Linked DNA regions of Nothobranchius furzeri. The protein of the gene in region 2 interacts with the protein of the main gene of each other region in a pairwise test. Links are inferred from orthologs where the notes say so. Each region holds a gene or a part of one and is shown on either strand. Other genes may lie near its edges.

The links. The genes of interacting proteins can lie anywhere in the genome.
Region 1: the proteins of paraneoplastic antigen Ma1-like (region 2) and mettl17 interact in binary tests that used the Homo sapiens proteins (3 or more experiments, as listed by UniProt). The link is inferred for Nothobranchius furzeri from reciprocal best matches to the Homo sapiens genes PNMA1 and METTL17.

Annotation. Positions count from the first base shown.
Region 1 is NC_091751.1:41,150,940-41,157,564, forward strand, and holds mettl17 (ribosome assembly protein METTL17, mitochondrial), read right to left. Parts: upstream 5,128-6,625; 5' UTR 5,002-5,127; coding exon 4,933-5,001; intron 4,495-4,932; coding exon 4,353-4,494; intron 4,246-4,352; coding exon 4,096-4,245; intron 4,019-4,095; coding exon 3,931-4,018; intron 3,862-3,930; coding exon 3,780-3,861; intron 3,690-3,779; coding exon 3,616-3,689; intron 3,544-3,615; coding exon 3,449-3,543; intron 3,377-3,448; coding exon 3,306-3,376; intron 3,164-3,305; coding exon 3,056-3,163; intron 2,668-3,055; coding exon 2,599-2,667; intron 2,518-2,598; coding exon 2,467-2,517; intron 2,389-2,466; coding exon 2,296-2,388; intron 1,914-2,295; coding exon 1,717-1,913; intron 1,472-1,716; coding exon 1,378-1,471; 3' UTR 1,246-1,377; downstream 1-1,245. Other genes in the region: epimerase family protein SDR39U1, read left to right, coding at 1-151, 350-777; parp2 (poly [ADP-ribose] polymerase 2), read left to right, coding at 5,505-5,577, 6,139-6,348, 6,443-6,598. UniProt on the Homo sapiens protein: Mitochondrial ribosome (mitoribosome) assembly factor. Binds at the interface of the head and body domains of the mitochondrial small ribosomal subunit (mt-SSU), occluding the mRNA channel and preventing compaction of the head domain towards the body.
Region 2 is NC_091745.1:26,671,558-26,679,007, reverse strand, and holds paraneoplastic antigen Ma1-like, read left to right. Parts: upstream 1-3,205; coding exon 3,206-4,123; downstream 4,124-7,450.

The DNA of each region.
Region 1 (6,625 bases), on a different chromosome or scaffold from region 2:
TGCTACAAACCAAGTCTGACAGCTGAGTACACAGAAGACAGCGAGTGGACACCCTTTGACTTTCTCTCACAACTGGTCAAAGAGTGGGAGGAAGCAGCTCTTCTTCCAGAGAACGTGGCTAACAACACCAAACAAGTTGTCATTCGTTCTGGTGTGTGTAACCTTGCACACACACAACACACTTCAAGGAACAGACCGTTTTGTATAAATATGTATTCCTCCTGGCTAAATCCCTTTTACGTTGTTTGTTATGACTAAAGTGTCATATTATATGTGACAGCTTTTTTTTTGTAACTGAATTAGGAAAATTGAAATAAGCGGTCTCCTTTATTCCATTTTTGTCCACCAGGGGTTGTTTTGGGTCGTGACGGGGGTGCCATGAAACAAATGCTGCTTCCCTTCTGGCTCGGTCTCGGAGGCACACTGGGTTCTGGAACACAGCCATTCCCGTGGATCCATGTCTCCGACCTGGCAGGAATCATTGCTGGTTCTCTGGAGCCCCCTGCTGACCCACCGTCCACCTCTCCACAGGTGTACAACGGGGTTGCACCTGCGCTGAACACCAACTATGAGTTCACTAAGGAATTGGGTCGGATCCTGAGGCGGCCCACCATCTTTCCTGTGCCGGGTTTCGTTATGAGCGCCCTGATGGGTTCTGAAAGGGCCACGGTCCTCACTGAGGGTCAGAAAGTCGTTCCAAATCGGACTTTAGAGTCTGGATTTCAGTACAAGTACCCAGACTTGACCTCTGCCCTAAAACAGATTGTTGAGAATTAAAGAACATTTTCTTCCCATTTACTGCCATATAAAATAAAAAGAACATTGTAAATGGCTCCACCTTTTGGTTGTGCTGTCACCTTTTTTATTCATCCCACCTTAAATTTGTCAAACTTTAAAAGCAGCATTTGTCAAATGAAAGGAAATTTGTTGGTTTGTTTCAAATATTAAAAAATACAAAGCTTGTTTTCTTTAAGTATAATGCCAGATGGGAAAAATATACTGTAGATACACCATAGAACAGCAACATGAAGAGTGGTACGCATCAAATTATAACATTAAAAAATGAATCAGCCCCAGAGAGGTATTGATTCTCTCTGAAAAATGAAAAGAAACCTGAACTCCTGAGTTAAAATTCAAACTTAAGAAATGCCAAATACTTCATCTGAGGTCTTTTCTCCACAACTAAAGAGTCATCACTCAAGTGACATCTTTAAAACATCACCATTTTAAAGTAAAACAAGAGTGTAAATATTTAGATTTAATAAGAGGTGAGAGGAAAAACACAATTTTTCTATTCTATTCTGTAGTAAACGAGTCATTAGATGAAATTTTTTTTGTTTTATGGGATTCAAAAATTGTTTATTTTTGGTAGAGTCATCACTCTGAGTCACTTTCGGCATCCTTTTCAACCTTCAGAATGATCGGCAGCTGGTCTCCCCAGTCGCTGTTCCTGGCGCAGCGGTACACATCTCTGAGAAAACAAAAAGACAACAGAAAATGTTTATTCAGCAGGAAAAAAAATAGATGAAATTATTTTAATCGGAAATGATCACATCCTAACAAGCCGCTGGTTCGTTTTTAAACATCTTAAATAAAAACAATTGTAGCATCTAAACACTTGAAAGAAGCTACTTTTCTGTAAAAACGGATTTTGGTACATTTAAAGACAATATTCTGAGGTGTCTGAAGAGACCCATCCTGCAGGATGTTGTTTACCGGCTGTGTTTCCGTGCCGTCACCACCTTGTGCTGCAGCTGTCCATCAGTGCAGCACATGTGGCAGTGGACGTGTCGCGTTCTGCACAGCACCGGCGCAATAAGCCGGGCCCATTCCAAACCTTCTGTCCCTTCCTGCGCCGGTTCCGTTCGGCTCAAAATCAGGTAGCTGAACTTCTCCGTTTGGCATTCGTGGTGCTGAAAAAACAACAAATAAAATCATTTAGACTTTGTTTTACAAGCCATACCTTTATGTTTATGTTTATTCATTTTGCAGACGCTTTTATCCAAAGCGACGTACAATTTTTATAACCTGTAGGGCATGTTGTGATCTGTGGGGGAAACCGGAGTACCCGGAGGAAACCCACGCATGCATGGGGAGAACACGCAACTCCACGCAGAAAGGCCGCAGCCGAGTTTTGAACCTGCGACCTTCGTGCTGCGAGGCAACAGTGCTAACCACTGCGCCACCATGCAGCCCTTTGATGTGGTTTTGTGGAGATATTAACCGATTTGGTCCTAAAGTGCAGCCTGTTACCCTTATCCTCTGTGTTAACGTTGATGCAGAGTTGAGTCTTACCCCTGACAGAGGGAGAGGATGGTAGCGCTGCTGGAAGTTGCAGGGTGTGATGGGCTCTCGGGCCAGTTTGGGACACATCATCTCATGGGGACACTGAGGAGTAAACAAAAAGAAGCTGCAGCAAAAAATGCAACGCCGCAAACCAAGACTGATGCTTTTCCTTTAACCTACCGGGGCGAACACTCTTGCTGGTCTGGGGTCGTGAACAATCTGCTCTTGTTTCTGTTGTGCAATTTATTAAACTGTCAAAACTTTTACACAGAAACGCCAGGAAAGAACCAAGCGGCAGTTTCACTGGAGTACCTTTAGTAAAGTGTCTCTGGCGTCCATGAGCATCTGATGGCCCTCTTTGGTTCCGTTTTCCACCAGAACCTGAAGGACAAAGTGTGGAAAAATAATGAAACACAGCTTAAAATAAGCTGAATTTTTTTCCACATTTAATTTCTCATGACCTGAGTTTTAATTTCAAGTGCATTTTTAATTTCACCTAGCTATTCTCGATTTGTTGGACCTCAGAAAAATAAAAAAACAAACAATATTGAGAGCATATTATACAAAAACAAAAAAAAACCATTAAAATATTTTTAAAATGTTAAATTACATAAAAAATATTTTAAAAGAGTAATAAAAGCAGGTCTAAGATTAACAGAATCAAATATTACAAGGCAAGAAGCCAATGTCGACACGTGAAGGATAAACACTGGAAAAAACTCAGAAGGCGTAAAAGGAAATATAAAGTTGAATTATTGATCTAACCAACCAGGTAGGAGGATGTTTTTCTCCACAGAGTGATCACAGCATCTTCTCGCTCCTTCACGCTGGGAAGCTCTGACAGAGTGAAAGCAGCCGCCACCAAGTCAAACTGAACCTGAGGAGAGAAACTGGGGAGTCAGATTTGTAGCTTTTATTACCAATTTTAACATAATTAAGTTAATCTGAGATTGCTTTCTCGTGGTAAATCCAGATCAGCATTTCCTCTGTAACAAAACCAAAAACCTGGGATGTTTTACCTTAGGAGAGACGGGAAGAAATCGTCTAAAATAGACGTGTTTGAAAAGAGGTTCAGCCTCCTCCTCATCACCTGCGCAGAAGAAAGCACATTCAGCATCTTCTAAAAAATGTTCTGTTAATGTGACAAATATAACAGATCAACCTTTAAGAAGTCGCTCAGCCAAAACGCTCATAGGCCCAGAGCTGTCCACACACACCATCTCTTTTAAAGAGTCTCCCCAGTGCAAGTGTGATGCCCTTTGAGAGGCAAAAAAACACACACACACTTAACCTCATTTAGACAAAAAGGGTTTTAATTTGCACACTAACCAGGCAACTGTTCCCAATCCTGACCCAAAATCCAGGAGAGATTGAGGAGCAAATGAGGGATCCCTCTTCTTTATCTGAATGAACACAAAAACACATCAGTTTTAATTTAAGAGTGATCAGAGGCACGTACAGGGGCTAAAGTCTTCCACAAATCACTTCATTACCTCATTTAGAGCTCTCGTCACTGCTGCAAAACCTCCAGCAAGCCGCGAGGCCATGTACACCACCCCCAGCTCTTCATCATACCTGAAACACAAAAAGGGCCGGTTACGAACCAAAACTCTCAGATTAAGCTGAGTTCTAAGTTCTGATTACTTCAGGGAATTCCAGTGATATGTAGTTTGTCTGAGCTCTGAGAGAACCCTTTTCCTGATCTGATTCCTCAGCGCTTCCTCGTCAATATCTGCAAAGAGAAACATATTTATTGTCTCCAGGGGCTGCTACATGGATACATCGTTACTTGATCCCACCCTCGCTCACCTCCCATCTTCTGCATGGCTTTCTCCCAGAGTTCTTTCTCCAGACCCAATGCTTTCTGCCTCAGAGTCACGTCCTCAACCATCCGCTTTCGACTCCACAAGTAGTTTATGAGTTTGTGACAGCGATCAGTAAGCTGGGTCACCTGAGCTTCTACACAAAGAAAAAACAAACATGTGGGAAAATTGTCAGTTTTATTTATTATTATTATTATTATTATTATTATTATGGCAGCTAGAGTTGATGACAGCTGATCTCACTTTGAATGACTGACTGTGCAGCAACTTGGAGCTCCTGGGGTAGCCGAAGTGTATTCAGGCTGGTCATACCAGGATGTTTCCTGTGGGGTTCTCCTTTAAGGAAATCTGCTTTGGGCTGTGGGTTAGCAGCAGCACTCACAGTCTGGAATAAATTATTATTACAAAGTGTCAGAATAGGAAAATGAAAAGCAGAGTGGCTGCATTATATGACTTTGTTAGAGTACATAATCGACATATAAAAATATGTGTATGAGGTACATGTTTGTTTGCATATAAATAATTCCAAAAATATACAAAAAATTTATGTAAGGTGTGAAGAAAGCACAGTCTTAGCAAAATATTAAGCAGTACTAGAGAAAAGAAAAATACAGGAAAACAAGGAAATAAGGACATTAGGATAAAAATACTAGTCACTGCAAAACTGTGGAAAGAAATATGAAAACAAATAATTTTATGTAATATTCAAACCGGGCTACTTTTCTACAAACTGACATGTCATTTACAGACCATAAATGTACACAAAACATAAATGACCTCCAGTGAAAATGATGCACTCAAAGACACCTGGTGGAGTACTTACCCTGAACAAAATCTTCACCACAGCCACTCTCTGACTGAGACCACAGGCTTTATAGCTACTTGATGCCATGTTCTCGGTGTCTAAACGGCACTGAAATATTGGTAAACATTTACTTTCATCCACGCTATTGTAAAGCACACCGACCGACTGATTTGCATCAACAAAATAATTCCGGCCACCACTGAAAGTGGAACCATCGAGCCTTAAAGATTTGTTCCTACACGAGGGAAACAAGAAGAGTTCTTTCTCTGATCTTGTTTACAGATACTGGCTAACATTCGGAAACAAATAGCACATAAAAGAAGGATTAGATTAAAAATGTTTGTTTTACCACATATACATCATTAGAAAAATCATTATTTGGTTGTAAACAGATGTATATTGCTGCGTTGCTAACTTCTGTATTCATCGCTAGTTAGTTACGAAGTGCGGCATCTTTTTAATAAACCATCTTCGGTAGGCTTTGCTCTCTACAGGCCTATCCGAAGAAAAGAAAGTTCCCGCCGTGTTTTCTACTGCTTCTCGATTTCTGCTTTTCCTGCTGTTAAATAAACTTGTTTTGATACACAAACATGAGGCGAACCAGAAGTTCGAGAAATAAAAGCCAGCGCGCACAAGAAAACCACGAAGTCCCGTCAAAAACAGGTTGGTGTTTGCTTTTAGCACATCATGGAAGGAAGCAGTGTAGCCATTAAACATGCCCGGACAGAGAATTAGGTTTTATTTTCATCTTCACAATTCTTTGGTAACTATGTCCTGCACTACCTATTACTTATATTTGACAACATTTGTGTTTTAACTAATTGAATCAAAACTTGGCGCGAAAACTGGTGAAAAGCACGAATATTAAGCAGTTCTGGAGGAAATCACTAGAATAAAGTGACTCACTGCTACATTTAATTAATTTAGTAATAACTAAAGCCTCGTTTGAGTGTAGAAAAACAATATAATGGCTCTGCAAAGTCCAGTTGATTAACACATCTTTGTTTAAAAAGTAGTAAAAAGAAACTACATAATTACATTTAATGAATGAAATCAACTCAGGGCAGAAATTTGATGTTTAGAAATTGATTCATGTTTTATAAAGTCATATCAGTATTTTATAGTTCATAAAAGGTCTGTTGTGGAATATTATTTTCAGTTTTTCCTATAATGCAGCACTTAAACAACTGTTTTACTGTTTTCTGGCTCTGTTTGTGATCACAGTGTGGCAGTGGAAAGGAGATGAAGGACAGTGGGAATCGTACCCGCCTACAGCCTGTGCCTTGCTTGATTCAGCCATTTCTTCAGGGAGGACATCCGTCACTCTGACTCTTGGCTCGGGGGCAGCATATGAAGTGGATTTGAAGAAGATGGTCCAGATTAACCCTGTGACGAAATACAAGAGAAAAATCCGCTCCAAGACTGTAAAAACAGGTGTTTTTTATTTATAGAAATCAATTCAGACTGAAGATGGCAAGACACATTATTTGTTGATCGTACATTTGTTTTTTGTTGTTTGTTTTATAAGAGAGTTTACAGGAAGCTGATGATGAGGCTGCTCATAACACAGAATTCATTCAGGTAAAAGAGGAAGAGGAGGAGAATGAGGAGCAGCCTACCGCTAAGAGGAGAAGAGGTCAAAGCAAGAGTGCAGCAAAAACCGAAGAGATGCCAAAAGAGGAAGGTAAGATTAATATAGTTTTGTTAGCAT
Region 2 (7,450 bases):
ATAAAGAATTGTGCAACGTGCCGACAGAACGACAAGTCCGCCGTCACCCATGATGCTCCACTTCAACCCATTCCTTTACCGGCTGCTGCTTGGGAAAAGGTGTCTGTGGACATCATAGGCCCTTTTGAAATAGCCCCTTCTGACTGTAGATTTGCCATTACATTGGTAGACTATTTTAGTAAGTGGCCTGGAGTAGCTTTTGCTCCCCGAGCTGATGCAGGTACTGTCATTCAGTTCCTTTCCGTAGTTTTCTCTCGTGAAGGGAATCCAAAGACATTGATAAGTGACAATGGCTCTCAATTCATCTCTGCTGAGTTCGCTGACTTCCTCAAAAGCAGGGGGATCCAACACCTGAGGTCCTCAGTGTATTACCCAAGAGCTAATGGGGAAGTGGAGAGATTCAATAGGTGCGTTAAAGACTGCCTACAGACTGCCTCGATTCAAGGTCAACCCTGGAAATCGTTCCTGAGAACTTACCTGATGGACTACAGAGCAACCCCTCATTCTACAACTGGAGTCTCCCCTTCAGAACTGCTCCATGGACGCCGAATGAGAACAAAGTTACAGGTAATAGATATGCCTGTTCCTCAGACAGAGAGGCAGACCATGTGCGAAAGAGTTAAAGATAAGCAATTGAAAATGAAGGAATACACTGATGCTCGCAGACGCGCAAAATCATCCAACTTTCAGGCTGGTGACAAGGTACGGGTTAGGAAGCCATGGAAGGTAAAGAAAGGAGAGTTAAAGTTTTCTAAACCAAAGACTGTCGTGACCAGGAAAGGACCAAATACTTATCTGCTGGATGATGGACGGACCTGGAACGCCTCACACTTATCGGCTCTGTCAGGGCTGAACACAGGTACTGATGCTGACACAAAAATGGACTGTCATAAACCAGGAACTGATCTGGCATCTAACTCTGAGTCTGATAGTAGGCTTAGGCCCATCAGGATGAGAAAGCCACCTTGCTGGACCCAGGACTTTGTTATGGGGAAGTGAGTGTACTGAGTAATGTGAAATGTTAACGTGTATTAGGTGACCTACATCAGAATGATGAGGCTTAGTTCACATAAGGAATCCTTGTTCAAAAGGGGAAGATGTTGTGTCCACATACTGTTGCATGTGTTCTGTAGATGCATTTACTAGAAGCGCTAGAGGGCGCTAGTAAGTACGTTGTGGTTGTTGTGGTAAAAAAAAGAGAAGTGAAGAAGAGAGAAATAAAGCGGGAGTTATCTCCGGTCCTCTGTTCCTACTTACGTGTGTGTGTAATGCTTGCTGGATTAGAGGCACACAACAACACTCTAGCAGCCCATTCAGCTGGTAGCCATCCCCATGTCTTAGCCATGTGCTCAAATCGTACAAAGAAGCTCTTAGGATCCTCACCTTCCTTGAAGTCAGGTATTCTAGGTTCACCTCCATGGATCCTGCCAACCCTTTGTGCTGGAACGCTTTGTGTCAGCTGCAGCTGAGGTGGTGCAGGCAGTCGTAAAGGAGAATGAGGATTATGCTGGTATGGAGTCCAACTTTCAGTAACCTGTTTAAATTTTGAACTATGTTTCTACTGAGAAGTCTACCTGGGTTGTAGGGCTCCAAAAGGGGCAGAGCTTCCTCATCAGTTTCACCTAAATCCTCTTGTTGTTTTCTGGGAGAAAGTATTGCCAGATTTTCGTAAATTTCTTCTTTTGTGTTCTGCCATTGGAATGAAATGAGCTGCAGTCTTTTGTAATAAACTGCAGAAGGATATGTGATCCAATAAAAAGCACAATGAAAACAGACACATGTGCGGTGAGTACAATTAGATGTGTTTTTGTAATTGAAATGTCTTTTTTACACTACAGTTACAAGGTCACAACACACAGATTAATCAAAAGATAAGGCAGAGAAGGAAACAAAGGGGTGTGCAAGTGTATGTGTGCAGATGTACATGTGTAGCCTGGTCTCAAATATCTATTCTAGACCCTACAGGTTAAAAGGATATAAATATTGTGTAAAGCCTTTATTGTAAATATTTCATATATTTGAAAAAACAAGGAGTTCAAATGGTTAAAAATGTGTTTAAAATCACAATAAATAGAAGTCAATCATAATTTGAGTGTTCATGGAGTTATAAGTAACAATGAAACTAAAGGTTTATCTAATGTGAAACAAGGAAAACTTTGTATTGTTTCAAGTTGTTTTACAAGTTCATTTTGGGTTGTCAATCTTGTATTTTCTTTTATCCCATTGGTTGATGTAAACCTACTGTCCAATCAGACGTAAGGGAGGCGGGAGCTAAGTGAGGCAAAAGAAAGAAAAAACAGCGAAGCTAGTGAGAGTCGGCAGCAGCACGTTGCGGGAGGAGGTTGTGTACCAGAGCTAATGGAAGAATAGTGAAATAATAGCCGTGGATGCAGAGTCTACGTTCCTGTTATGGACTGTTTTACCCTGTGATGAGTGAGTACTGAATGTGGAGTTAGCATTGAGCTTAAACGGAATGTATAAGTACTTAAAATGTATGGTGCTAATCGCGAGTTAGCATGTTAGCATTTTAGAGCCTGTAATAGCTATGTATGTCGAGTACGTAAGATACAGCTTATTCTGTGGAACTAAATAGTAATCTCTAATGCACAGTGGACCGAGAGGAATTCTCTGGACTCTTCTGCTGTGGATAGGAGTTCTGTGTGGTTGTTCCAGTGTACTCAGCAGCCCGGGTATGCCGCTAATTCCGACCACCTTGCCGAGTGGAGGCCGCATGGTCACCAACCAAGACTGCCCCTCCGTTTGCCTTGCACTTAGCCCAAAGGATTCATGAGTAGACCTGAGCACGTGTGTTTTGTTTTCTGCTGGTTATCAAGTGAAGCGGCCATTTGTTTGTTTTCTGGCCCAACGAGCCCAAGCAACGATCAGGCCTGCAACGGTTTCAGTGAATGAGCTCACAAAGGTTAAAACTGGTTAGTCATTGTTTCTCCTGTTTACCAATAAGATTAGTTAATGTACCCAGGGCCCCGCTCATAGTACTATCACCATCTTAACCGAGGGTTAATCCAGAGCTACTTGAGTTGGGTGCTACACATTTGGAGGCACCGCTGGGATTGTTGTTGTTTTATCTACATTTTAAGTTACCACTAAATCTGCTGTAACCTTAAAGTAACTAAGAGTAACACTGGTCCTAAAAAGCAACTTCAATTAATCTTTTTTTTCCCCCTACAAAGTAACTTGTTAAACTATGGCCACTAAAAGTGATGTCTCACAACCGAATCTTGCAAATTGGTGCAGAGGTGAAGGGCTCGATCAGGCACATGCCATTCTAGTTGTCGGAGTGCCTGAAGAGGAGGACCTATCCACAGTAGAAGAAACACTCGAACAAGTAAAAACCTTGGGCAAGGTAAGAGTAAGAGGAAAAATGTTTGATGCCAATAATCAAACCCTGACCATGTTATGTGAATGCTGTGAAGCAGTCGATCCTACCAAAGTTCCGCCAGAGTTGATTTCCTTTAAGGATGGAAGTAAATGGACAATAGTTGTTGCAGAGCAAGAAACGAACTCCGACCTATTCACAGAGAAGTTGGACAGATTTCTGCGTGATGAAGGGAAAACAATGGAGGATGTTCAAAGACTATGTGATCCTAGAACTCCATGGAACAGCAGCCCTGAGTCAATCATTCGGGTGGTAGGTGATGTGTTGCAGTCCAAGCCAAATGAAAGCAATTTATACCGTCGTTTTAGAATCTTCTCAGGAGTCTACCCTACTCCACCTGGTGAAGACAACTTGGATAGCTGGCTAGAACAAGTAAAGTTCATGACTGATGAGTATGAGTGCTCAGATAAGGAGAAACGCCGAAGAATTATTGAGAGTCTCAAAGGGCCAGCGCTGGAGATCATTCAAGCAGTGCGCATGTCTAATCCCCTGGCAAACCATGTGGACTGCATACAGGCATTGGAAAGTACCTTTGGTACCGCAGAATCCGGTGAGGAACTGTATCTCACATTCAGAGCTATGCATCAAAGACAAGGGGAGTGCTTGTCTAACTTCTTGCTGAGACTGGAAAGATTACTGAACAAAGTCGTGCAAAAAGGAGGCCTACAAGTAGATGAAGCCAACCGAGCAAGGCTTGAGCAACTCATTAAAGGTGCTACTGAATAAGACTTCATGCTGCTTCATCTAGGTCTTAGAGGTAAGCGAAGTGATCCCCCGACATTTTTAAGTCTACTGAAAGAAATTCGAGAAGAAGAGGAGCGTGAAGCTGCAAGACAAAAACTGAAAAAACCAGCACAGAGACAGCACGTGCATGCAGTGCAAGTAGCAAGTGAAACAGACTCCAGAGATTGTCAGCAACATGAGTTTCAGTCCGAAATTCAAGTGCTAAAAGAAAAGCTGAAAGAGCTCAGTAAGCAGTCTCATTCTACAGAGTCAAGCCACAAAAAGATGTCCAGAGAAAAGAAAAAAGAGAAATCAGACACAAGCAGCGAAGTGCAACAGTTAAGAAAAGAAGTCAAAGAGCTGAAAACACAGTTAAGTGTCATGTCGGTAACGCCACAACATTATGCAAAAGAGAGAGGGCACTATTCTAAGTTCAAAGCGGACTTCAGTCCAAAGTCATCTACCTTTAAGCCAAAGAGTAGTAAAGAGTCAGATAATTTCTGCTACAGATGTGGAGAAAATGGCCATTTTGCAAACAAATGTACAGCTCCGGAAAATGCTCAAAAGGTAATCAAAAAGCTTATTCATCAAGTGCATGGAAGCCCAAATGGACAAAGTCAAAGTACCGACGCTCAAGATCAGTGTGTTGCTCGAGTTAATACTACCAACGTTCCAACTCAAAGTGCCAACATACCGGAAGGTCTTATTGGTCCATCATCCATAGCTCCTAATAAGGTCAATAACATCTCATGCCATGGTCTTATGGATTCAGGATCATCAGTGACCATTATCTTTGAGGATTGGTATAGAGCCAATATACCAACAGTCCCTATACAGCCCATTTCCAATCTAGCCATCTGGGGCCTATCAGCTGAGTCCTACCCTTACCATGGGTATGTAGTAGTAGAGATAGAGTTCCCTGAGAATGTAGCAGGTGTCAAGGGTCCTCTTAATGTCCTCGCTCTTGTTTGTCCAGAGCCCCCGCAAGGTCGTGAAACTCCTGTAGTGGTTGGTACCAACGCTTTTCTGTTCAGCCGCCTATTTCAGTTGTGCAGAGATAGCGGTAACGAGAACAAGGTCAGCTCCATGAGGATACAGGCAGTTTATGATAAAATCCAAACTCAGTCCTTAAGGTCCAGTGGAGGCGACGATCCCATAGGGCAAGTGAAATGGCAAGGTCCAGGGCCACTTACCATTGCTCCAGGGAAAAATTGTTATGCCACCTGTAAAGTAGAGCAGAAAAGAACTAAACCCCAAGATGTTGTTTTGGTTGAGGCACCTGCCATACCCCAACTCCCATCCGCAGTGTTGGTCCAGCCAGGTGTTCTCCGTGAAAGTGACATGGATGAGAACAGTTTCATCGTGCTATTACAGAATGAGTCAGAGAAACCTACCTCTATCCAAGTCGGCACAGTCATTGCCGAGATGCATGCAGTAGACGTAGTCACCGATCCTAAAGTGTTAGAGTCTGAAGCTAGTACCGTAGCTCCCGAACTCTTTGATTTTGGTGACTCTCCTGCTCCAACAGAGTGGAAGAAAAGACTACAGCAAAAGCTAGCGCAGAGGCGTAATGTTTTCTCTCTTGATGAATGGGATGTGGGATTGGCTAAAGACGTAGAACATAACATCCGGCTTAGCAACTCTACCCCCTTTAGAGAGCGCTCACGCCGCTTAGCTCCAGCAGATATTGATGATGTACGACAACACCTACAGCAGTTGTTAGCGGCAGGCATTATCAAAGAGTCTCGAAGCCCCTTTGCATCACCTATTGTTGCAGTGCGAAAAAAAATGGCTCCATCAGAATCTGCATCGACTACAGAACTTTAAACAGCCGTACGATCCCCGACCAGTATACCATCCCTCGTATTGATGACGCCTTAGATTGTCTTACGGGCAGCAAATGGTTCTCAGTCCTCGATCTTAGGAGTGGGTACCACCAAATTGCCATGTCTGAGCAAGATAAGGAAAAGACTGCATTTATCTGCCCCCTGGGGTTCTATCAATTTGAACGAATGCCACAAGGCATCACAGGAGCCCCAGCCACTTTTCAGCGGCTCATGGAAAAGGCAGTGGGTGATATGCACCTTCTCCAAGTCCTAGTGTACCTTGACGACATAATTGTCTTTGGTAGAACACTCGAAGAGCATGAGCAACGTCTCCTAAAAGTCTTAGATCGCCTTGAGGAGTTTGGTCTGAAATTGTCGCTTGACAAATGTCAGTTCTGTCAGTCCCAAGTCAAATATGTTGGTCATATTGTCTCAAAAGATGGGATAGCCACCGATCCCGAAAAAGTAGAGGTTGTCAGGAACTGGCCGGAGCCAACAGATCTAAAAACCCTTCGCTCATTCCTTGGTTTCTGTGGGTATTATCGCAGATTTATTGCAAATTATTCCAGCATAGTCCGCCCATTAACTGAGCTTACCAAAGGTTATCCACCTACTCAGAAAAACAAGGGAGCTCAAACCAAAGACCCAACCAAAACCTATCTCAAACCTTCTGAGCCATTCAAAGAGCGATGGGACCACTCCTGTCAAGTCGCATTCAAAAAAATCATTGAATGTCTGACCAATGCCCCTGTTTTGGCATTTGCAGATTCCACCAAACCTTATGTCCTACATGTGGATGCTAGCCTAAACGGTTTAGGTGCTGTGCTCAATCAAGAGTACCCTGAGGGCCTTAAGCCTGTTGCTTTTGCTAGCCGAAGGATCAGTGACTCAGAACGAAACTATCCGGTCCATCAACTGGAGTTCTTAGCACTAAAGTGGGCGGTTGTGGATAAATTTCATGACTACCTTTATGGAGCTAAGTTCACGGTTAGAACCGATAACAACCCCCTAACCTACGTGTTGACCACTGCAAAGCTAAATGCTGTTGGACATCGTTGGCTTGCAGCTTTAGCCACGTACGATTTCAACATCCAATATCGTCCTGGTCGTCACAACATAGATGCAGATCTATTGTCCCGACAACACACCAATGACACTGAATGGACAGATGTCCCACAGTCTGCCATAAAAGCAATCTGTAAAAAGGAAGCCATCTATGAAGCTACTAAGTCCCCTGTCAGGCTAGTAGACCATCTGGGAGTTCCTACATCCGTGATTCCAGAAGCTTACGTCCTTCCAGTAAGCCTAAAAGCAGCTTTGGAAGATCACTTGACTCCTACAGACTTACAAGTTGCTCAAGATCTGGACCCAGTCATTGGACCAGTCAAACAAGCCATCCAAACTGGAAAGCAACTTATCACATCCAAACATTCACCTCCTGATATGTCTTTGTTAAATCGTGAGAGCAGGAAACTTGAACTGAGAGACAAAATACTGTATCGAC